Arabidopsis thaliana: one gene and its partners. The main gene of each other region encodes a partner of the protein of the gene in region 2 in a complex. Each region holds a gene or a part of one and is shown on either strand. Other genes may lie near its edges.

Evidence for each region.
Region 1: SFR6 (region 2) and AT2G22370 share a complex: the UniProt entries of both Arabidopsis thaliana proteins name them as parts of the mediator complex.
Region 3: SFR6 (region 2) and AT1G23230 share a complex: the UniProt entries of both Arabidopsis thaliana proteins name them as parts of the mediator complex.
Region 4: SFR6 (region 2) and NRB4 share a complex: the UniProt entries of both Arabidopsis thaliana proteins name them as parts of the mediator complex.

What each region holds. Positions count from the first base shown.
Region 1 is NC_003071.7:9,500,245-9,503,728, reverse strand, and holds AT2G22370 (mediator of RNA polymerase II transcription subunit), read left to right. Parts: upstream 1-1,518; 5' UTR 1,519-1,650; coding exon 1,651-1,692; intron 1,693-1,839; coding exon 1,840-1,939; intron 1,940-2,029; coding exon 2,030-2,087; intron 2,088-2,164; coding exon 2,165-2,521; intron 2,522-2,607; coding exon 2,608-2,710; 3' UTR 2,711-2,945; downstream 2,946-3,484. Other genes in the region: AT2G22360 (DNAJ heat shock family protein), read right to left, coding at 3,270-3,484. UniProt on the Arabidopsis thaliana protein: Component of the Mediator complex, a coactivator involved in the regulated transcription of nearly all RNA polymerase II-dependent genes.
Region 2 is NC_003075.7:2,496,302-2,500,941, reverse strand, and holds the start of SFR6 (sensitive to freezing 6), read right to left. Parts: upstream 3,012-4,640; coding exon 2,674-3,011; intron 2,597-2,673; coding exon 2,528-2,596; intron 2,438-2,527; coding exon 2,349-2,437; intron 2,266-2,348; coding exon 2,153-2,265; intron 2,042-2,152; coding exon 1,940-2,041; intron 1,496-1,939; coding exon 1,405-1,495; intron 1,218-1,404; coding exon 621-1,217; intron 413-620; coding exon 1-412. UniProt on the Arabidopsis thaliana protein: Component of the Mediator complex, a coactivator involved in the regulated transcription of nearly all RNA polymerase II-dependent genes.
Region 3 is NC_003070.9:8,242,628-8,250,479, reverse strand, and holds the start of AT1G23230 (mediator of RNA polymerase II transcription subunit), read right to left. Parts: upstream 6,041-7,852; 5' UTR 6,000-6,040; coding exon 5,892-5,999; intron 5,812-5,891; coding exon 5,768-5,811; intron 5,682-5,767; coding exon 5,582-5,681; intron 5,495-5,581; coding exon 4,556-5,494; intron 4,420-4,555; coding exon 4,177-4,419; intron 3,970-4,176; coding exon 3,700-3,969; intron 3,591-3,699; coding exon 3,389-3,590; intron 3,292-3,388; coding exon 3,020-3,291; intron 2,805-3,019; coding exon 2,721-2,804; intron 2,626-2,720; coding exon 2,531-2,625; intron 2,384-2,530; coding exon 2,221-2,383; intron 2,128-2,220; coding exon 1,711-2,127; intron 1,628-1,710; coding exon 1,514-1,627; intron 1,434-1,513; coding exon 1,308-1,433; intron 1,233-1,307; coding exon 1,084-1,232; intron 839-1,083; coding exon 598-838; intron 420-597; coding exon 1-419. Other genes in the region: AT1G23220 (Dynein light chain type 1 family protein), read right to left, coding at 6,344-6,502, 7,636-7,852. UniProt on the Arabidopsis thaliana protein: Component of the Mediator complex, a coactivator involved in the regulated transcription of nearly all RNA polymerase II-dependent genes.
Region 4 is NC_003070.9:5,430,617-5,438,331, forward strand, and holds the start of NRB4 (mediator of RNA polymerase II transcription subunit 15a-like protein), read right to left. Parts: upstream 6,003-7,715; 5' UTR 5,738-6,002; intron 5,737-5,737; exon of another isoform or gene 5,598-5,736; coding exon of another isoform or gene 5,540-5,597; intron 5,314-5,539; coding exon of another isoform or gene 5,306-5,313; coding exon 5,193-5,305; intron 5,069-5,192; coding exon 4,957-5,068; intron 4,781-4,956; coding exon 4,663-4,780; intron 4,563-4,662; coding exon 3,177-4,562; intron 3,078-3,176; coding exon 3,007-3,077; intron 2,885-3,006; coding exon 2,810-2,884; intron 2,482-2,809; coding exon 1,198-2,481; intron 1,086-1,197; coding exon 741-1,085; intron 597-740; coding exon 390-596; intron 296-389; coding exon 1-295. UniProt on the Arabidopsis thaliana protein: Component of the Mediator complex, a coactivator involved in the regulated transcription of nearly all RNA polymerase II-dependent genes.

The DNA of each region.
Region 1 (3,484 bases), on a different chromosome or scaffold from region 2:
TAACGAGCGTTCGAGTATTGAAATCGACACCGAATTGTGGCTTTGGAATCCATACTGAATTCGTCTCTTGTGAACCGAGCTCGTAGCTGTGACTTCCCAACCGCTGAATCTCCGTTCAAAACAACCTTGAATACGTAGTCAACCTCTTCTTCAGCCATCTTCTTCTTCGCTCGCAGTCGGCGATCGAACGACGTCGATTTTCTCGCTGTTTTTACACTCTCCGGTGGACTGAGAGATTAAACTAATCGTAGGGTTAAAATGTAATCCTCTACGGTAGAGAGTACTAGAGTGTATGGTAGTCAAAGTCGTCATACGTGGATTTGATTAATGATTGCTACACGTGTATCGCATTGATAGGTTCTCTTGCTCGGATCACTAATACATAAACTTGGATACAACCCAAAGCTTGACCTATTTTTGTTGAACACCTTTTTGTTTTTATATTTTTCATCCTCTGAAACAAGTCCATAGACTCTTGTATTAATATATCCTGATGATATTTGGTTTTACATTTGCATCTTGTATCATTGTAAACAATTCATAAGCCTTCCCACAAAAGCATGCTTGGCATTTGACAATTGGCAATTCATAAATGATGCATTATAAGCATAAATATCAACTTGGATATTCAACTTGGCCCGTGTATTATGCTACCTCTACAAATTTGGTGAGGTAGGTTAAAATGAGGCCGGTTTGAGTTACCGGTATATTAGACGAGCATTAACATGATTACACACTTGAGGATATTATTGACGAATGAAGAAACTAAAATGGTTTAGTTAATGCAAAATTGAGGATTCATTCGTCTATTGAAATAGAGAAGAATTGTTTGAGGCTAAAATAAATATATTTACATTTTTCCTATTCTCCTCCAAACTTTTCGTAAACATGGTTATTTGACTTATTTTTGAACTTTTTATCTAATAATTTAAAGGATTGTGGTGATGTAGTGGCCACTTAATCTACACAACATCGCAATAATTTTGACAAAATTTTCTACATATTTCTTGTCAACAATTATAAGGAATTAACACATTCTACTTAGTAGACATTTACAGTAATCACAACCAAGATGAAATAACCATATATAAATATCATTTGCTATGTTCATAAACTTTATCGAAACTAGTTGACTTCTTAAAATGCCAACTAATTAGGTTAGGGTTCATGAACTTTTTAGCAAAGATAGCACAAACTAAATTCTATCTTCAACCTAACTAATGACGGTTTACTCCGGTTAACCGGTGGTTATGTTCTCATCATGCGGCCAACTAAGCTAATGGGCTATTTGGTGATCACTAATCAATGACCGAGATGCACTAGAGTTTTTATTATGATCGAGTTCCCAAAAAAGGGGCAACAAGAAAAAACGAAATGGCCTATACAGGGATCGAACCTGTGACCTTCGCGTTATTAGCACGACGCTCTAACCAACTGAGCTAATAGGCCATCTTGCTTTATCTACAGCTAACTACTATATAACAACTACACAAGTGATTCTAGTAACTAGCTAAAATTCTCCGGTGTTAAAAAATCTCAGATTCGCTCCCGAGGACGATTTAGGAAGCTTTCGTTAGTTTTTCCAATTTCGGATTTGGTCTTGTTGAGAATATATTTACGATTTTAATTGAGAGATTTTGTGATAGCTCAATGTCAATGGAGTGTGTGGTTCAAGGAATCATCGAGACACAGGTTCGTTTGTATTTTTTGATTGACGAACAAATCCCAAGTTTTTCGAGTTCATGGATCAGCTTTTAGCTTTCTTATGATGTCCAATTGATAAACCCTAGGCTTGAATTTTTATTAGAATTTGATTAGATTTTCTACTGGATTTTGCAGCATGTTGAAGCTCTTGAGATTCTTCTTCAAGGTCTTTGTGGTGTTCAACGCGAACGTTTAAGAGTTCATGAGTTATGCTTAAGAAGCGGCCCAAATCTTGGTAAAGCCAATTCCTTTTGTTAAATTCAGAAACTTGAAGCTTCCTATGAATCATACATGATTCACATTTGTGAAATCTTCACTTTTTCAGGAGTTGTGTCATCAGAAGTTAGGCTATTATGTGATCTTGATCAACCCGAACCCACATGGTACAGCTTCTTCTTGTTGTTGTTGTTGTTGTATATGTTCTTGTTTCATTCAAAGGAAGCTAATTTAAGAACCATAGGACGGTTAAACATGTTGGTGGTGCGATGAGAGGTGCAGGAGCTGATCAAATCTCTGTTTTGGTTAGAAATATGATTGAAAGTAAAGTAAGCAAGAATGCTTTGCGTATGTTCTATGCACTCGGTTACAAACTAGACCATGAGCTTCTCAAAGTCGGATTCGCCTTTCATTTCCAACGGACTGCGCACATAAGTGTTTCTGTATCTTCTGTTAATAAGATGCCTAAAGTTCATGCTATAGATGAGGCTGTTCCTGTAACACCTGGTATGCAGATTGTTGATGTAACTGCTCCTGCAACTTCTGAGAATTACAGTGAAGTCGCTGCTGCTGTTTCATCTTTCTGTGAATTTCTTGCTCCGTAAGTTCATCTGATATATTTTACAGCACCTGTGATAGTGTCTTTGATATAAGCTTCATCAGTGATATGATTCCTTGTGTTTTCAGGCTTGTTCACTTGTCGAAACCGTCTATCTCCACGGGGGTTGTGCCAACCGCTGCTGCGGCGGCTGCATCTCTTATGTCGGATGGAGGAGGTACTACATTGTAAGAAGTTTGAAGTTAAAAACAACTGTTCTTGTGTTCTCTCTTGTTAGATCTTTTGGTCCAATCTAGTCAATTTTCCAGATTACACAATGGTTGTGAAATCTTGTGAACCATTAGAGTTAAGTATTATTTAATGAGAATCAGTAAGGGATCTTTAATAAATATTCTTTATAAATCACAACTTGCATATGATCTTTGCTCTTCTCTCAACCTTTTGGTATTATGATGTTTCATTGTTGTCACTTGTCAGTAGATTGATAGTTTATGAAGCTTCGAACATGATTAAAATAATGTGAATGTCTTTGTGGAATTACATACTATTTTATTTATCATTCAATCACTAATAAATTCCAATTTGAAAGCCTATTAAAACCTAACATATTAAAAATTTGAACCACAAAAAAATGAATTCTAAAATTCTTCCATTTCCACAACAATAATCATCTTCCTCCACTTGCTTCTTCTTTTTTCAAGAGCCATTCTAAATATCACAAGCCAGAGTAGAAAAATGTATATGTATAGAGAGATTCATAATTTCAATGTCAAAATTTTCGTGTTTCTAATCATCTACTGGTGCTATTAGCAGTCTTGTTCTTGCTCATATCAGCAAGCTCTTCAATAAGTTTTTTCTCCTCTTTGCTCAATCTCTTAGGTATCTCCACTTGTACTCTCACCAACTGATCTCCTCTCATATTACTCTTGTTCAATACCGGAACTCCTTTTTTCGCCATCACAAGCGTCGTGCTAGGTTGTGTCCCAGCTGGAACTTTCAAATCTA
Region 2 (4,640 bases):
AAAGTTGGACCAGAAAAGATATGAACTCCACCACGAAGAAAAGCAATCGCAATTTCACCACCATGAGCAGAATAGACAATCCGTGCAAGTGTCCGAATATCACTTGGCAAATCAAAAGGATCAAATACAACCTTGTTAGCCTTCTCATCACCAGAATCAGGCTCCTTTGGTGCATCCACACTTGGTCCTGCTGCAGCTACTTGATGATTCTTAAAATCTTTAGTAGGTGGTATGCTCATATCCACTCTGGATACCCAGACAGTTTGCGTGGGGACCTGTCCTCCAAAATTTGAAGTTGGGTTTCCAAATATCTGATGCAGTACAACAGGTTGAACACTTGATTCCCAGCGCTGTACTCTCCAGCCTGTGATTGAAGGACCTTCATCTGGATCATACGGAGACATGTACTGCCCTGCAGACACAAACAATTAGCATTTATTTTAAACAATAGATTGAAGCTGTTGCGCTTCATCACTCAAACAAAATTAGCATTTTCTCATCTGGCAGCTCTTCAATATATGAGCATTTCTAAATGATTGACCAAAAACTAAACGTAAACCTGAAAATGTTTATTCAATCATGGAAACAGTATGAGGTTCCGAGAAGGATGAGAACAGTACCTTCAACTATAACAACTGCTATCACTGAACCACCACGAGTTGGATCAAAAGCAACAGCGGTAACACCAGATCCCCATGTTGTGGTTGCTGCAGACTGAGCTGCAGCCTCTGGACTTACATAAGCAGAAAAATTGGAAACCGGTGAGCAACTTAGCGATATAGCATCACTGGAATCTTGATCTGAGGGCTTCTTCCCTTGCTTTATCTCGGATATTAAGTATTCTTGCCAGCTAAACAAGTACGCAGCTAAAGGAGCAAAACCTGTCCAAGAAGAAGAACTAAGGGATGGTGGCACACGACTGCCTGTAGAGATTTTTGGAGTCGCCTGGAGTCCATTTCCAGGGCCAGGGGTCACCTCCCATACTACAATTGTTGAAGGGTTTACAATTGGAACTCCTGCTACATGCATGGCACCACTGTCTGTTATAATAGCATCAGCAGCCATAATTCCACTTGGCCCTGCACCTAAAAGACCTTTCTTTGTACTAAACCACTTTGGTGCAGTGCTTCCCTGGTTAGAAGGCCACTGGGACCAATGAATTTGAACAGAGCCGGATGAGAAAACAGAGCATACACAGAGAAAGTTGGGCCACCGAGCTGCAACAAATGGTAGAGAATCAGAACCGTCACATAAAGTGGAGGAAAATGCACTAACGTCAGAACATGTTGTATTGATCTTGTCACATATATTTGGATGTCAAAGGAACTGACATAATTAAAATTAAGTGCATAATTCTGAATATATCATCAAAAAATGAGTCACAAGAGGCACGCAGAAGAAAACCTGAGCTTTCAGAGCTCTGCGAGAGAAATTTCTCCTCGAAAGTTGACTTTGCATTTGTACCAGAACTTGGCTTGGAGGACAACCACCTATACTGATTATCAATAAAAAGAAAACATAGAGGATAAATTTCCTAGGATAAAACTAGAGCAGCAAACTAGGTGGCCAGAAACAACATGATATTAAGTCCTTCAGAACATGTTCTTTGCAATGGCATTATTATCTATCTGTTACTCATTTCCTTATGTGTTCATGCCGATCATTAAAGAAATGCATCTAAGAAACGCAAATTGGAAGATCTTTTAGGAGTCTAGTAATTTTGCAAACAGAGAGTTGGGATTTCCAGGACGTTGTGTTTTCTCCATCTCATTTCCTCCAAAACGTAGAGACATTTCCAGTTCAATTACTCACGATTTAGTAATCCCAGTGCCCACTCTCACATGCAAGCCCTCCATTACTAATTTAACGAACTCATTAAGGGACAAATATGCTGTGCATTTGATAGAATGGCAAATAAGCAAAACATAAGATTACATACTGGGGAAGCCCCTGTCAGCCACTTTGTAACAACAGCAATGTCCTGACGCCATTCATGCTCACACTGCCAGGAGGTAGCGTCGTGCACTAAATTAGCCGAACCCTGCAAAACCAATCCACAAAAAAAAAATCATCTGAGGGTGTCATAAAACATCTTGACACAGAAGACAAAGAAGAAATATAAAGGTAAATCCCAGTGATCAGGAGCACAAACCTGAGTAGGCTGCGTCCAGATAGTTATACGTCCATGAAAATTAGCAATGAGTAACGCACGAGGACAAGAAGTGGGAGACCATTCGATAAATTGGACAGAATCACGAGGAGAGTCTACATATAAAAAATTGCATCATAATCGTTTATCACCCACTAGATCAACCGAGTTCATAAATAATTAACTGATATCAAAATACCTGCCACAACATTAAACACCGCACACTCAGTAGGGCGCTCAGGTATCAAGATATGTATTGGTATCCAAAAAGGTGTATTTGCCTTGGAGCTGCAAGAGATGAGAACAGAGAAAGATGAAAATTGAGAAATTCATCACTGCCCATACATTCAAGACATAGAAAAGTAACAAAAACCATACCTTGGAATCCTGGCACAGGTCTCGGAAGCACAAGCAATAGCATTCAATTTGCCACACCACGCAACAGCACTAACACAAAGAAAAGGAGAAAACTTTACAGGAATTGATGAAATTTAAAGATTTTCCGATGGGAGAGAGAGTCAAACCTGAAGTTACGGCACAATTCAGGAACACTCATCTTATGAAGCAAATTGGAATTGGGCTGCTTAAGCTTAACACAGAAAACTGTAGCCGGACTCACAGGATCAATCTCCATGTTACTACTACTACTATTATCGTCTTCTTTCTCTCCGTCTACTGATTTCTCTAACAATTTCTCCTCAACGACGACGAGAATCGGATCGGTAGACTCAATAGTCTCTTCCTGCTTCTGCTGTAATCCTTCTTCCTCTTTCTCCTCCACTATAGCTGGAGCTTCGATGATTCCTCCACCACCGCTATTATTAACCAAAGAAACTTCTTCTTCTGGGTTTTGCTGATTCATGTCAACGAAAGCAAACAAAACCCTAAATTTATAGAAAAATCGGAGAAAAGAGGGCAAGTGTGACAAAAAGTCGCGATTGAAGGCGACAGAAAGCACTGTGCGTTGAGAGAGAGAGAAAGTGTCAAAGTGAGAAACTGTTAAGTGGGGTTAACGAGACGACTTAGTGCGGGGAAAATTCCAAAATCCCCACAAAATCAAAATCGAACAAAAAATGCAATTTTGATTTTAGGGTTTGGTGGAGTCACAGTCTCGTCGCCGGGATGCAGAAAAAAAATCTCGGTGAAAGTGATGCAAAAACGCCGTCGTGTCTGGTCACTTTCTCTCTAAATTTTTTTCCCCTCTTTTTGTAATTTTTTACTTTTTCTTTTAAGAGCAAAAAATGAAGAAGTAAATTTTAAATGATAGTTTTGAATCTTTTGATTAAGGAAAATGATCATAATTTCATTTTTTCTTCTAATTTACCATCTTCAAATTCAAATTTGTAAACATGGAAAGGTACTAACTTAATTTGACATTTGGCATTTGAGGATCCTTGTTTGACATTAGTTTTTTTTTTTTTTTGCTAAATTTGTTAATATCATTACAATGAGAGTTCAGAAAATACAAGAACGTACAACCTATAGAAAAGTAACCAAGGCAAAAAAAATAAAAACAAGGCTACAATAGAATTAGAAAAGATTTAGGTGTGTTTAACGAATCCATAAAAGCATTAGCCGCTGCCAACGCTTGCGATGTCGTCGAGAAGTGATTAGGTTGCGAAGCTCACGATCCACCAATTTGAAGATGATAAGAGGTGCCACGCGAGTAGAGTTGTGCAAAATATTAGGCTTAGGCATTAGTTCATTTGCCTCCTCCCAAATCAAAAGTTAGGCTTAGGCATAAGTGTTTCCCATGGTTGTTGTATCTCCCTCAATGTAGCACGACCAAGAATGAGAATCACTTATTGCTTACACCAAATTCTTTGAGTTACATGCATAGCGTACTGAAAACTAGTTGTTTCGGCTTCTAACTAGATACAAGCAGAGCCATCCATGAGCACAAACGGGTCAAGCTCATGCTTGCGGCTTCAATTAATATAAAGGGAATTTAATGAAAAAAAACCTCAACTTTGGCCAGATCCATTTTTAAACCCTAAACTATGTTTTTAGTAAAACAAACCCTGAACTAAAACCTGTTAATAAACTTAACCCTAAACGTTGTTTAATTACTGTGGGGTTAAGTTTATTAACAGGTTTTAGTTCAGGGTTTGTTTTACTAAAAACATAGTTTAGGGTTTAAAAATGGATCTGGCCAAAGTTGAGGGTTTTTTTCATTAAATTCCCTAATATAAATAAAACTTTTGCCTCATTTTCTTATAACTTTCAGTAGAAAAGTTGGTTATTTGCTTATAAGATTACATTAGAGAGTCAAAAGTTTGAGTTCATCTTCATCTTCATTTGCCTTTTTATTTATTTTTTCATTTTCACTCATTAAACTAGAACCAAAAAAAAATTCCTTCTTTCAATCTATTAAATACTAGGGATGGATATGTCTTTGCACCATACCCTTTTAACCACCTTCTCATATCTAAGAATGCACCAAATTTCAAACTTATTCATTCCATGTTTACAACATTACTTATAAGTTTAC
Region 3 (7,852 bases), on a different chromosome or scaffold from region 2:
TGGAACCCGTTTCCAGATTGAATCAGAGTCGATTGTATGTTGACAATTATCTGGACAAGCGAAGAGACAATCTGAGCAGCAGAGACAGGAAGCGAGAGGATCTCGATCACGGCTGTCTCAAGAACCAGTTGCGTGTAAGTTCCTGGGTCCTGGATCTGATAGAATGCTTTCTGGCCCTCAGAGGCGTTTGCTGGTCCAGGCTGAGATGTTCCTGGAGTTTTTCCATGAGGAGGTCTTGCTGAGCTGTTTAAGATGTCTGCCATTGAGCCAGACCTCGAGCTGCAGTTGCTGCTGCTGCTAAGTGGAGGTATAACATTGTTTACGAGATTAAGCAGAAGAGAGGCAAAGTAATCTAGAGGTGGGCATACAGGTGCACCGGTAGGGCTAATGTACTGCGGGAATGATTCAGAGAATGGAATCTGCGGAAATGTCAAAAGATTTGTTACGTTCCATTTTAATCGAATGTGGAAACGATTACGGACAAAGGTATCTAGATAAATTGGTGAGAAACAAAATCTCTAAACTAAAATCCAAAAGCGGCATCAACTTGAGGTCAATTTCAGAATCAATGTAAGATCGGGAATTGTTTTCAATTACCTTGCTGAGATCAAGTACTTTGAGCATGCGCAGAACAAGTTTCCCAGGAAGATGGCCATAGAAATAGGCTAGTATATCACGGACAAACGTGAATCTGAGAGGATGATACGCTAGAAAATGCGAGTGTGCAAGCAAAAGATTATCAGCTTGCTCCATCGCATTGTTCTCGATGAGCCTGTAAAGCACTAGAGGGATAACTGGAAGCAAACGCGCTGCAATATCATCAAAGAACGTTGGATACCTGCGTTTAACACAATAAAAAAATAGGTAAAACATTTACCCAACTTTAGCAGAATCCAACACCAAAATTAAAACAGATCAAACCAAAATTCAACTATTTCCTAGTCATACACAAGTTTTCATGGAAGGTTCCATCACACATTTATGGTTGGATGCCAACAAAACCAATCAAACAATCAAAGCCATGTACTTAAGTGAAATTGTTGTTAGAAATCAGTTACACTGATGTTGAATTGGATATATTACCTGTCCTTCCAAGAAAGATGGTTACCCAGGGCCTTCTGGAGTTCATTGCGTTTGAACACCTGTGTGACAAGCCAGTGCTCAGGAGACCCACGGTTTTGGCAGTAGTTTTTTATCCTCAGCAGAAGGTCTGGCGTTTTAAGTAGGCTCATCTGTAAATAAATTGAAAACAACACTGTAAAATTTCTATGATGTTAAGCTTCTTTTACGTAAAAGCATGAACATACTGCAATTATCAAGGCGTGAGGATCATCATCACGGTCAATGAGCGCCAAAAGAAAAATGTCGAGAGGAAGCATTTCATGTGTCCAGAAGAAAAATGCAAGATTTGCGCCTGCCTTGTCTAGAACTGCCTAAAAAATATTACGATGCAATGTAAGAAGATGGATCAAGCAACGAAAAGTGAGGTTAATCTCTTCTGGCAGACAGAAACCTCTAGAGATTGTCCTTGCTGAAGGTCTACATGAACGTGGTGAAGCAAAACATCGACCAAAGTGTATATGTTAGCAGTGACTTCTTCAGGAGAAACTTCTCTCAGAACTCGTGCCTGATAATCATTTGGAAGAGAAAATCATACCACTATCAACAAACAATCATTTCACAATTATGAATAGACTAAGCAAAGCAAACCAGATTTGTGCTGTTGATGTTTTCAGCGTGGCCTTGCATCAGCAGACAAGCACCAGCACATAGATACTGACGGTGTTGAGGAAAACTGTGACTGAGGTATGTTGAAACGTAAGCGGGTTCAGCAGATGGTGAGAGAAGTTGAGTGCACTGGTTTATCACAGTTGTTTCAGCCTGTTGCCATGCCTGAATTGATAGGCCCCTCTTGTCTACCCGTCCTTTCAAAGTTTCACGGAGAAGGGATGGGAAATGCCGCATCGTCTTCTCTGACCATGTATGCTGACTCGTCGCGAGTATTTGTTCCAACATGGTTTGCAGATAAACCATGTGATCAGGGTCTGCGATACCACGTGTTTTGATAGTGATAGCAAGAGTCATGATGGTTATGCGATTTAACGTCTCAGTGAATTCAGTTGGCCCCTAGTGATGATAACATAAGAACAATTATTTACACCTGAGATCCAGGCACAAAATAAGAAGGGGGACAGTGAGTAATTCGAAAACACCACTTACTTTTCCCTCCCGTTTCACAGAGAAAAAGTCTCTGAGTGATAAAATGAGATTCATGCATAAGTTTTCAGCTAGTCTGAATATACGGTGGTCACCACGTTTTCCTTTCAATGCAGATATTATTTTAGTAACATCATACATTAAAGTTTTACTCTTTCCTTGGTATCTGCAATAAGATCAGTAATTTTGTTTAGTCGGGTCTAACAGCCAATATGGCGAAAGCCCGAAACAATTGTCATCTAACTAAAAGAATGACCCAGTTAAAACATAAAGAAGGATCTACTCCAACTTGAGAACTTTTCGCTCGTTTTACCTGTAGAGTGGCAGCAACCGATAGTTCAGAATCTCAAGAACAAGTAACGTCACTCCAGGCTTGCTTAGCAGAGAAGCATTTCGCTGGGCCAATTGCTACAGAAAGTTAGCTAATCTTATGAATCGCTTATGATCAATAAAACATAAGATAATGAAAGTCAAAAGGTAACAGAAGGAACCAAATAGCTTACACTGAAATGTGAACGGAACATCGAATGAGGGGAAATCAGAAGCAATCTTGTGTATGTCTCAACCATTGCAATGCTAGGAACAACCTGCACTCAGATGTTTTACTACGACACTAAATTCATTTTTCTCAGGTTTTTTAAAATCTACTATTAACATTTTTAAACAAGTAAAACGCTAAAGTTGTTTTACTAAACCGTGGAGAAAATAGGTCACTAAGTAAAAATGACCAAAGAAGATGTTCTTCATAGATCAGTGTATCAATTAACATATATAATATCTTTGTGAGACAAAGGAAACAAACCTGGCTAACAAACAAAGCTTCTTCCATCTGAAGGGCCAATTTCAAGCACAAATTCATTGAAAAGCCAGATAGCAATGACATAGGTAACGGGGTAACTTCCTGCGTCATCATTACTCGGTCGTTTGGCTGTAATCCCGGTAACTCAGCCATGCCAGCTGAAGATAGCCAATTTATAACTGTTTCACATGCTGGTTGTGCCATGGTGTAGGAAACAACCCAAAACATGCCAATCGACCTATCATCCATATTCATATAATCCATCATCCGCTCTCCTGACAACCCCAAACAAGAAACAGAATGAGAGGATGCTTTTTATAATCGGGATTCTCTGCTTCCTAGTCTAAGCCCTGCCATTGAAACCTTATGTACCTTTGCTTCTCCACCACTCATCGATCTGTTTTCCCTTCAACAGCTGTTCATTGTTTAGGTATGCCCTAGTTGTTGTGCTTAGTGACCAAATCCGTAGATTCTGACAACTGCTTACGAAGTCAAGCAACACACTCTGAGGATTGTTGGGATCAGAATTTCTGTCTTCCCTGTGAAATGATAAGATCTTCCTAGTAGTCTCCACCTGAGAGAAAACCCAAATAGAGCACAAATTGGGATGTTAAATTCGCCGAAAAAGAAGTACAAGTAATTGCATTGCAGCTGCAAACATATCATTGTAATTGAGTAACGACCTTTTTAGCATCTGAGTTCAAAGCAGTCATCACAAGCTCCACGCGTATTATTTGTGCAAGCAGCCAAGTCACATGATTCGTCCGAAGAATATGGTTATCAACACCGTTAAGGCGTAAAACCAACTTGTCAATGAAATCAACAAAATCAGTACACCCACTTTTGATTAGAAAGAAGAATATATCCGAGAAAACCAGCCACTCTTGCCAGCAATTTGCATCTGCATAGAGAGGGGGAAAAGTAACAGATACCAAATCAATACCAAAGCAATCCTAGTATAATGGTATCTCAACTCTTACTTTTATCTTTTCTATCTAAGCCTAACGAATCAACGATTATAGAACTAGAATAAAACGTAAAGGATGTAGGTTCTTTACAGATTGTGACGACTAGCAAAACCACTTGCTATTTCAAAATAATTTCCACAGATTTAAATGGAAGTGACAGATCAAAGACATGAGAAATAGGGAAAGACAAACATTGCCTGAGTTGGTCAGCTTAAGAAGCTCAACAATTCTGTCAATGATTGCCTCACAAATCATGTCAGAAGTGAATACAGCACCAGGGATAGGCCCTGCTTGTGTAGATGGTCTATAACAAGGGGCCACAACAAGAACACGCTTCCACCAGTCCGGTGACGGTGTAGTGCGAATAGCATGTCTAATGCAACGCACTGCTCTCTCCCAATCCAGGCTTCCTTTTGGAATAGACATCGCCAGATCCTGCCGGTGTCGAAAAAGAAGAAGAGAGGATTGAAATTCACAAATTGTCTGCCTAATGAAAAGCGTATACATTACACAATATCAACAAGAGCCAACTAAGCTATGAAACCAATCTCCACAATTTCATAGGAATCACCTCTCCATATAAAGGTTCCCCAAGCACACTTGGATATGTAATTGGTGAATGTCGTAAGTGTGGCACAGCTTCGGGTGGAACATTGGCAGTTATTTGGGAGACTATACGATGGGTACCAAATGATGGACAGTGAAGATGTTGGTCCAACATGAGCATATGCATGGCCATCGCATCTCGCCTCCGGTGTATCTCCATGATAAGAGTGAACAAGGCTTCATCATCAGGTATGTTCTCTATAAACTGTAGACCACTGCGCAATAACTCATAAAACGGAATTCGAGATTCACCCTCTTCTACCAACAGCCAGATCACATCCAAACAACTCCGCAACCATTCAGCTAAAGTCTTCTCAGATCTCCACGACTTTCCTACAGAGTCCTCAGTTCCCAGATCTCTCCTGTCCCAGTTAACAAGCCAATTCATCATGTACTGGAAAATCTCGGCATGAGTAACGGGTTTGAGACTAGATTCAACGCCAATCAAGATAATCTTGCAACTGAGCTGACGCAGACTGTTTACAGCAGCAGCTCTAATCCGTTGACTATTTCTCATAGCATTCTCTCTTACAATCTGGCCAGCTCTTGCAATCTGCTGCCCATTCTCCACAGATTTCACCTCTGAAGCTGATGGAGAACCAATACCATGAGCTGAAGGCAGCAATGACGTTGGATTCACAGACACAGGAACTACAGACTGCGAAGAAGTAGCAGAAGAACCAGCCGTTGCCGCTGCTGCTTGAACACCTTGGCTTAACGACGCCTCAGCAGCGGAAACGGAAGAGAGAAGGGATGGTAAAAAAGTATCCCAATTGATATAACTAATCCTACACAATGTACGCAAAGCAAAGAGTAGAAACTCAGCACGAGGCGCATGATTGCTACATTGCACCACCAGAGATATCAAAACTGACTCAGTAATCGTCCTCAATTGCTCTGGATCCTAACAAAGAGTTGGAAAAAAAAAAAAAACTTTATCTTACGAAATCACAAAGAGAAAGATAAAGATAGTTAAAAAACGAGACTTTACATTGAATTGGCTCTGAAGCAGCTCAAAATCCAAAAGGAATTGCTCGTTTCTTGGTGGTAAGTCTCTATTAGGAGCATGAACACGCTTCTGTGATTTGTTCCTGATCAAAACAATCAACATGGATAAAATCAAACACAGAAGGAAGAGAAAACAAGAGTTGATTCAGAATCAATAGAAACAACATACGGGGGATCTCGGAGGGACTCATCAGGCTTTTGACGGCTTCCTCTCTGTGATAGAGAAAGCAAAATCAGCAGAGAAACAAAATTCGATGAAAAAAATTGGGAGATTGGAGAAGAGATTAACCAACCCCTAAGTAGAGATTGAAAAGATCGATAATTGCAGCACGAGCTGGGTGGAATTGGTACGATCGAGAAGACGATGGCGTTGCAGCGACTGTTCGCTGCGATTGATCCATTTTTTTTTCTTCTTCACTGATTCTTTTTTTCTTTGATGCTTATAAAACGGAGGAGCAAAATTGGTATTAGAGGTTTTGGGTTTAAAGCTCTTTTGAAGAGAAGAAAATGTCAACAACAACAACAACACAACAACGAAAAAAACAAAATTAGAATTTGAGAAAGAGAAGAACAATATTTTGCATTGTGAAGTTGAAACGATTCACAGTAGAGAAGATGACTTCTAATTACACAATAGGAGCCACAAAGATTTTGTCTTAGGCAGAATTACATTGTGGGATACAAGACAGAGAATTCTAAAAGAAAAGGATTAAATTGAAGATGCTCTGATCATCAACGTTTTATCTCATTTTTGATCTAACGGCTCCACGGCAGTCTTGAAGAGAAGAACGTAAACTTTGTCGATCTGAAAATATAGGAATCCTCCTGTGGAATGAGTCACGTATGAACCAAAGCTTGTTCCAACAATGCAGTGCCATGCCGGGCCGTAGGCTGAATCGAAGTCCTGAAATGGAAGACAGATGGAAAACTGTTTCGTGAATATATAGTTTTAAATCAGCTGCAACATGTCATTAGACAGATGGGAGTCTAAGATTCACTTCAGTGGATAACATAGAAGCTGGATTTAGGAGAAAACATAGAGACAAGAAACATATGAAGATCTATTTCGAGATAAGAGATCTATATTACCAGAACAAGAAGATAAAACAAGACAACAGCAGAAATTGACTCGTATGTCAATCCTAAAAGCCAAAGGGAGGTAGCCATTATTAAGAGATTGATGAACACTGAGACAAACAAGTAAGCTGCACACAGATAAGTGAACACTAAATTGTTTTACTCAACCACTTCATAAAATCAATGTATGGATCAATCAATGCCTCTACCTAGTCGCATAAATTGAGGGAACTGCTCCATTTCGCTCCATAAGTTAAAATCAAAAGCTAATTATCAAAGCCGCTTTAAGAAGGAACAATATCCTCACGAGAAACAACTGCATAAATGGACAACTCTATATATGGGGTGTCGAACCAAGTCCTTTGTAAAAGGTTGTATTCAGGCAAGGCTCACTTCCTAAAGCAAGCATGCTTCAGAGTTATCATTAGGTAGCAACTAATTTCTAACAGCAAAGATACAGAAGCTTAGCAGATGGTGCATGCTATGCCTCATTAGTTATGGCCTAAGACAGCTCCAAAATCATCTCAATAAACAACAAGAACATCCAGTTTCAAGACATTTCACAACGAGACTCCTACTACAGTTATCCTCGCAATACAAAAACAACCTAGTCAAGTAGACTAACCGAAGCTACAAATAGAAAAGACAACAACAATGGAACAAAGTCAAATGCAACCTAACAAATATGGGACCATCCATGAAGTTCAACAATATGCAAGTACACAAACGAAAATCCAAATTCAAGATTCATCACATCTTCAAACCAATCAAGAAAGAGAAGACCATAACCACATTCTACAAAAAGCATGCGACTTTGAGACGTAGCCCTAGAACCCAAAAGCAGCTCAATACTTTTAGATTCTGTGTCAAAATTCAAAACTCAATCCAAGTACTAGACTTCAATGACTCCAATTCAACCCAAATACAGAAAAATCATGAGAGAGATACAAAAGATCTAACCTTTTTTAGGGCATGAGCGAGTCTTTTGTTATCAGCCTTCCCTGGAGTAGCATTCAAAATCTCACGCGACAAACTAAAGGCTCTGTTCTGTTGAGGCAAAGGCATATCTGAAGCCCTAACACGAACATTGAACTCATCTTTCTGATCTTGCTGTTCTTTAGCCTTCTTCTTCTGTATCAAACTGTTCAAGAACTTGCTTCTTCTTTCTAATTCTAGC
Region 4 (7,715 bases), on a different chromosome or scaffold from region 2:
TGCCATAGCTTTGGACGACAGGTCCTCGTTTTCTTTGCTGTTCAAGAAACCAGACCGTGTTACGGTAAGAAGATAACGCAGTTTCTAATAAAGGGTTTCTAGTAGATGATTCTTGTGAAGATTTTAACTGTATCGTAGAAGTTTGCTCGACTCGGTACGGAAAATCTATGGTTCTATTTACTTGAGACTGAAGGATTTGCTTGTACCTGGTTTCGACCGGGAGTTTATCTAGAAGAGATGGAGAGCCATTGGGGTAGCTACAAGGAACCAGCAGACGCAATGGTTGAATAGGAGACTGTAATAGAAGCACAAAGCATATATTATAAAAAAGGATAAATGAAATATTTTGTTTCACAAAACGTTAATGTTAACGAGATGACCATGTTTACCATTTGTGTTGATGAGAGATGAGCCTTCAAGGCTGGGCTGAGAGAAACAGCTATAAACGAGAATCTAACTGTTGTTCCTTCACACCCTATGCTTGATATTGCAACCTCACTAGGATCAGCAGCATCTTCATCATCACTTATCTCAACAACTGTATCTATCAGCCGCTGGTTTATTTCCTTTATTTCCTCCAAAAGGGCATGCTCGGTCTGCAGTTCAAGATTGAGTCTTCAAAAAAAAAAGAATATCGAAACCTTGTGCTTCCAAATTTTCTTTGTTACGTGTGTGTGTGTGTGTGTGAGTGTGTGTCAATATTCAAATATAGCTAGGGGAAGTCTAACTGAGTATCATACCTCAGTTCTTGCCTTCTTGCCATCCGAAGTCGCAGTAGATTCTAGATCGGATGTTTCTGAACCAGCAAACTGCTTGTAGTTATCACCAACACTTCCTCCCAGTGAAGCAACGCTTAGTGGCATTGCGGTTGTGTGACGCTTCATTTTCTTAGTCGCCATCATTCCCTCTTGGGTCATGAAGTTTCTTGCTTGGAGACGGCACTTAGTCATTGCAACCAAGTCTTCACCAACGGAAGCTCTTGAACCGTTTCCTGGTGCTGAACCAGCTATCCGATCAACCATGCTTACAACAGATCCGATGTCACTTACTGCAGAAGAAAGGGCTTGTGGTGAGATGGACTTCACCTGAAAGCAAAGCATACATCATAAGCAGAACAATGATTATATTACAAAACGGGTTTGCAGCAATATCACCGTCCTGCTGCGATATACCCTTAAAAATTGGAAATTTACTTACGGCTCTAATAAGGCGTTCAATAGGCAGCTCAGTAGCACTCGGTTTTCCAGATGTAATTGTCGAAGAATTTAAAATATTCCCATCAGGACTAGTAAACTCCTGAAGGAGAGGAGAGGCAGAGATCCCTGGAGTGCCAATTGCTAGGGACTGAACTACACCTTGCATGCCGGTTGCTTGTTGGCGTGCAATATTTCCCATTGACAACGAAGAAGAACCAGGTTTCTCAGAGTCAACTTGCATAGGGGACGGAGCCAAGGGGGTTGAAGAAGGAGATGGGACAACAAAAGGGGAATTTGCAGGTTGCAATGGAGTTCCCATCTTGTTGACAGTATTTTTCTGGTCAACCTGAGGAGACAAATGTTGTGACATCTGAGGAGATGCACCTTGCAGAAGTTGAGGCGACGAAACAGCTCCTGGTTTTAACTGTTGAAGAGGATAATTCGCACGCTGACCCTGCATAGAATGTTGCTGAAACATCCCACGACTGACATTCATCCCCTGCCTCGATGTTAAATCATTCATATCATTCATCTGCTGTAATTGTGCCGCTTGCTGTCTTGCTTGCAACTGTTGCTGTTGCTGTTGCTGTCTTGCTTGCAACTGTTGCTGTTGCATCTGGCGCTGTTGAAATTGCTGTTTGAGCTGCATTTGTTGATCTTGCTGTTGCTTGAGGTGCTGATGCTGAAGCAAACTGGAACTTAACTGGGGTTGATTCACATTCGACTGCAGTGTGCTCAACCCACTTTGAGCAGAGGCAGAACTGTTATTTACTAGTTGAGAAGTATTTTGTTGCATAGATCCCATGGCAACCTGCTGTCCATTGTTCAAGGTATTTCCTTGGCCTGATTCTAAACTAGAAGCCGGTATGGAACTGGGAATGTTCTGCTGTGGAGCTGAAACTCCAGGACGAGATGATAGAACATTGCTCTGCATATTTGTCATACTACTCTGTTGTGCCCTTGGCCCAGCACCCTGCATGCTCATTGATTGCATCTGCGGATTTGTTTGGTTATCATGGGATTGATCTTGAACTGTCTGAGATTGTGGTTGCTGCATAGGCTGCATCTGAGATTGCGGAAGCTGCCCTTGCTGTACTGGCTTCCTCGGCCTGTGCATATTTAAGAAACCTATAATCTGCTTCTCATAATAAGCCACCTTATCTTTTAATGCGGGCATGATGTTGCTCTTTGAAACAGATAGAAATTGTATCATTCGCTCCAACATTGTTTTGAATTGTCTCAGTTTCTCAAGCTGATCTGATCTTTGTTGCTGTGGCATAGAATCCTGCTCCAGATACAAAAATAACTTACTAAATAAAAAAGAAACAAATACATAGATGCAAGCTACAACTTCTGTAGGTTTGGGAAGGAACATAAATATCAGCAGGTTGATTTTCTAGTAAACTGTAAGAATACGAGTCTCAAGATTCTTTTTCTTTTTCTTTGTTAAATGGGTAACAAGACTCCAAAGTTGATGACGTTCTTATGCAATAACGAACCGAACTTGCATTGAATTCATAAAGCTTCTCAGAAGGTACTCACTACTGTTCCAGAGGACATAGACGTACAAACGATTCTCCTAGTATAAAAAAGAAAAGAAAATTGTAACTTACTTGCTGCAACTTTGCTGCAACTCTCTGGTAGATTTCATTCAGATCTGGTAAGTAAGTCTCTTTCATAGATTTGATCTACAAAGACAAGCAATATGGTCATATGATTACTCATTACAATGATATCTATCACTTGAAGATTTAATAAGTGTAGCCATAATTGGTAAAGATATATAGCAAACACAAAAAGAGAGAACTACCTTTTGGTAAACCTCCTCTTGCCAATCACCTCCATTTGCACTTTCCGTCTGTGCTGTCGAATCCAGCGATGCTAAGAATTATAAAAACGAAAATATGTTCAGCATCATATCCTGCTGAGAGATTATGGAAAATATCAGAACCTAAAGTATTAAAAGGATCAAAAGCATACATGATGGCATCTCCGGAAGGGTTCTTTGGGATTGATATAGTTGTCTCTGTTGGTCCACAACATTTTGAGGTGGAAGCAGGGAACCAGTGACTTGGCCTGAAGCTTGTAGCCTTTGTTGCACATCCTGTTGTAGCAGATTAGGTTGTTGTTGCAAACCCAGCTGCTGATGATGCGATTGAAGCTGTGGCATCATCTGCTGTTGTGATGGCTGATTTTGTGACTGTTGTCCCTGAGAAGAATACAAGCCATGGCCAGCCTGATGTGTTCGTTGCAGCCCAACCGTTGGTTGTGATAACATGTGCACCGAGTGCTGGTTATTCTGCAAACTCGAATTGCCAACCTGGGAATTGAGCATCTGTTGTTGTGGTTGCTGCAATCCTGCAACATTGCTTTGAGTGCCCAGTGGGTTCTGATGCGTTGCCTGGAGGCTGTTTTGTTGAGACATCAACTGCTGCTGGGCCGGTGGCTGCTGTTTCTGCTGTTGCTGTGGCTGCTGCAGTGGTTGCTGCTGCGACTGCTGCTGTTGTATGTTCATAACATTATTTTGTTGGTTCAGTAACCTTTGCTGATGTTGCTGCTGCATATCCCCAACAACATGCTGCCCCATCATCTGCTTCTGTTGGATGCCTGAGCTATTTGCAGCTTGTTGCCGCATTAATTGTGTAGGCTGCTGCTGTAGAGGAGAAATTGATTGTTGCGGCAATGAAGATTGCTGCTGATGGATACCAGAGGCTTGTTGTGATTGCGGATGTTGCCTTAGCATCGACGATTGATGCTGACGAAGCATAGATTGTGTCGTCTGCTGAGAAGACAATTGCGGACTTGATTGCTGATTGGTGTGGAGACCTTGGAGAGGAGCTGAGTTCACAGTGGAGGGCTGAGTCGCAGATGTTGGAACACCAGGTTGTTGAGATGAATGCAGTTGATTAGGCTGCAGCACATTTTGCTGCTGTTGTTGAATGTGTGATGGCAAAAGCGAATTGGGATTGGGAACATTCCCTGACTGGAAGTTCTGCTTGAGAAGTTGCTGCTGTAGCTGCTGCTGGTAAAGATATGGCTGCTGTTGTTGCTGTGAAGACATAGCATGTGGCCTACCCAGCATCTGCCTTTGGGGTCCTGAAAACATGTTCGAGGAAAGGCCATGCTGCCCAGATGAATCTTGCAACATTCCAGCTACATTTTGCATATTGGCATTCTGGTTCACAACGCTTGTGGTGTTATTATTGGTTATGGAAGAAACAGGTGGCATGGAAGATGGTAAAGCAGTAGAACCCGTCATTCCAGAGGCAGTATTATTCTGCATGGTTTGGGACAGCAACGGCTGAGGTGCTTGAGATTGATTGGTTGATAACGATCCTGGAAGAAGTTGGCCTTGATTGGTGGGTACTATTCAAGGAAAGGTTAAACAGCATCAAATAAGAGGAACAATTAGCCATAAAACCAGATAAACAGACTTAAGCAATTCATGCTTGAGAATCGTGATTACTCGAATCTATGGATGTGCCATTATTAGCGGCAGGGATAGCTGCGGAAGAACCAGCTGCATTTTGTGATTTAGTCTCCATTGTCAGCATCTTCATTGATATTTTCCGAAGGTAATCAGTCTGAAAGGCGATATAAAAGAGTATCAGGAAGGTATACATGGATTTCATACCCAACATATTGTGGCTTAGCTTTACAGATACCGAAAGTCAGTTCTTTTCCATGTTGTGGAGTCCATTGCCTCACAAATCTCTATATTTACCATACTAACGAAACAAGAATATATGTTCATAATAACCTGGTTAAGAGCACCGCTGAAAATTTTCTCCTCGAATCTAGCTGCAATTCTCCTGAGCTCGTTAATTCCCTCTGGTCCGGAAAATGGAAGGTGCTTCTTTAGTGTTTCCATTCTGCGCAAGTGGCAAGCAAATAAGTAAAACAAACAAACTAACTATTGGTCAAGGAACATAATAACCTTCTATTTCTGTAGTATTTGACTGGCATAGACAAAACAACGCCGCTAGAGTGACTTACATCTTGTTGACGATCTTCTGACGAGAATCAGGTGGCAATTGCGTTCTCCAGTCACCTGTATCCATGGCAGGCTCTCCGTTTGGAAGAGAAGGCCTCCAATTGTTATTATCCATCAAGTTTTCTGTGTTTACAAGCCATGAAGAGCAAAGTATCAATAGTAAGTATACAGAGAAACCAAAACATGACAATATAACAACTGATTATCCCAAATCAACAGGAAACAAATGACCACACAACATGGATTAGATTAACACTCAGAATTTCTTATTGATCAGCCAAAATGTTCATTCTTTCTAATGTTGGTAGCAAAAAGCAATAAACTCAAAACATCAAATAGCCAATCCCACCGGAACGAGAATCCAGGAACTCAAAATAAGCAAACTTTATTACATCAACAAAGTTCATCTATTCTCGTAATTGTAATAAACCAGACCCAACTACAAAGGGAGATACTTTATCTTCTTTGGAATCCCGATCAAAAGAGAAAACTCTAAAAAGCAAGGCTTAAGAACAACAGAAAAAAAAACGAGATTCGAACATTTCACCTCAAATTCAGAGCCAATCAAGGAGATTTGGCGTTTGACGGAGTCAAGGTTGGTACAACGATTAGGGCTTGATATTAGGAAAACAGAGGAGAAAAAGGGGAAATTGGAGCTGGATTTAGGGTTTAGCTTGATCGAAAAACGAATGAAGAATATAGGATCTTCTAGGTAAAGAGACAGAGGAAACTTGTTCGCGTCGTAAATCATAATCGAGCCTACCAGTTCGCTTATAACAAGTTTTTTTTTTTTTCAAAATAAACAAAAAAATCTAGTATTAATTACCACATGTATAATTGTATAGTTTTCCCAGTTCAAATATGGTAGCATTGGTGCAAAATGTATTAGAAATTTGTTAACTAGATAATATGACCACTATTTTTCAATTTTAAATAAATTATATATTTTTCGTTTCATTTTAGAAAACGTTTTAGAAAAGTGATTATAAAGTGATAATAAAATTAGATATAATAAAAGTACATTAAGTCACATATGTTGTTTACGTTTTTTTTAACAAAACAGCATTTTTTATTAATAATTTTATAGGTTGGAAAAATAAACCTTACTAGATTTTAACCCGCGATACACCGCGGAGACAATTCATTTTTAAAAATTAATATATATAAAATTTGTAAATTATTTTATAGTTTACCATTGTTACTAAGTAACGTCCTGCCAAATCCGTCCTACCAAACATGTCCTGCCAAACCCGTCCAAAAAAAAAACTATTTATTTTATTAATGTTGATCTTATTTATAATATGTTTATGAATCATTGTCAAAATATTTTAGTCGTTGCGTGACATTGAACCCACACATTTTTCGCCAATTGGTTAATATATGTTCATTCTTAAAATTTCGAATCACAAAATATGACGAATTTTTTTTTGAGATTTTTTAAAACTCTATATATTATATAATGATGTTAATTTTTTTGATAAATTAAACTTTTTATAAATTCAAATATTGATAATGTTTTATGAAGTTTAAATATACAAATAATAATATTTAAAAAATTAATATTTTTTGCCTTTTAGGTAATGATATAATAACTCTAAAAGCAAGAATTTAGAAGATTTAAATCCTTAAATAAATATTTTCATGCCTAAATAATTAATGTCAGTAGTATGACATTGTAAATAAGTTCAAATACATGATTTGTTTATTTAAACAAAAAACGTTTAGTAAGAATAATATTTATTTAAACAAAAAACATTGTTTTAAAATATAGTTAATAAAATACGTTTATGCTAATTTTAAGGGATTGATGTGAAGTTTGTTTGGATTAAATTTGATTGATAATGTGATTGACAATTTAAATTAAAAATTTAAAGTAAAATTAATTATTTTGGAAAATATTTAATGTTAATGGCATTGGGTTGTAAATAAGTCCAACTCTAAGATTTATTTGCTAAAATGACTGCAAAAATGTATATGTAGATAGTTAAGGAATAAAATCCTTAATAATCTGATTTTAAAAATAAAAGCAAATAAAGACGATTTTCAATTAATTTTGAAATACATTTGTGTCCTTTCTTAATTCAATTATTTTAACTGTTTTGTTAATGAACTATGATATAAATATAATCAGACTAAAAATTTTTTTTTTTTTATAACTTTTTTATTATAGGGGATTTTAGAATAATCATCACATAATATTCATCAAACAAAACACAAAACCGGTTGAAGGTTTTATACATATTTAACAAATGTAAATTTCAGTATCATTACCTAAGAAACAATCAAACTCACCTAACTTGTCAAGTGTACATGTCCTATAAGTCAAAAGAGAAACTTTTCTTATGACAGAGGTTGTCTATGTGTAAATGTGTAATATGTTGATGTTTTCTGCAATATCTTTAGCCGCCAATGTTTGAAAGAGTTGGTGCGTATCAACTGCTCAATATTTCAGTCCAGTGAAACATAGTTTTAAGTTTTCGAAACGAGAAAACAACTAGTTTGTTTTTTTACTTTTCACCAAACAA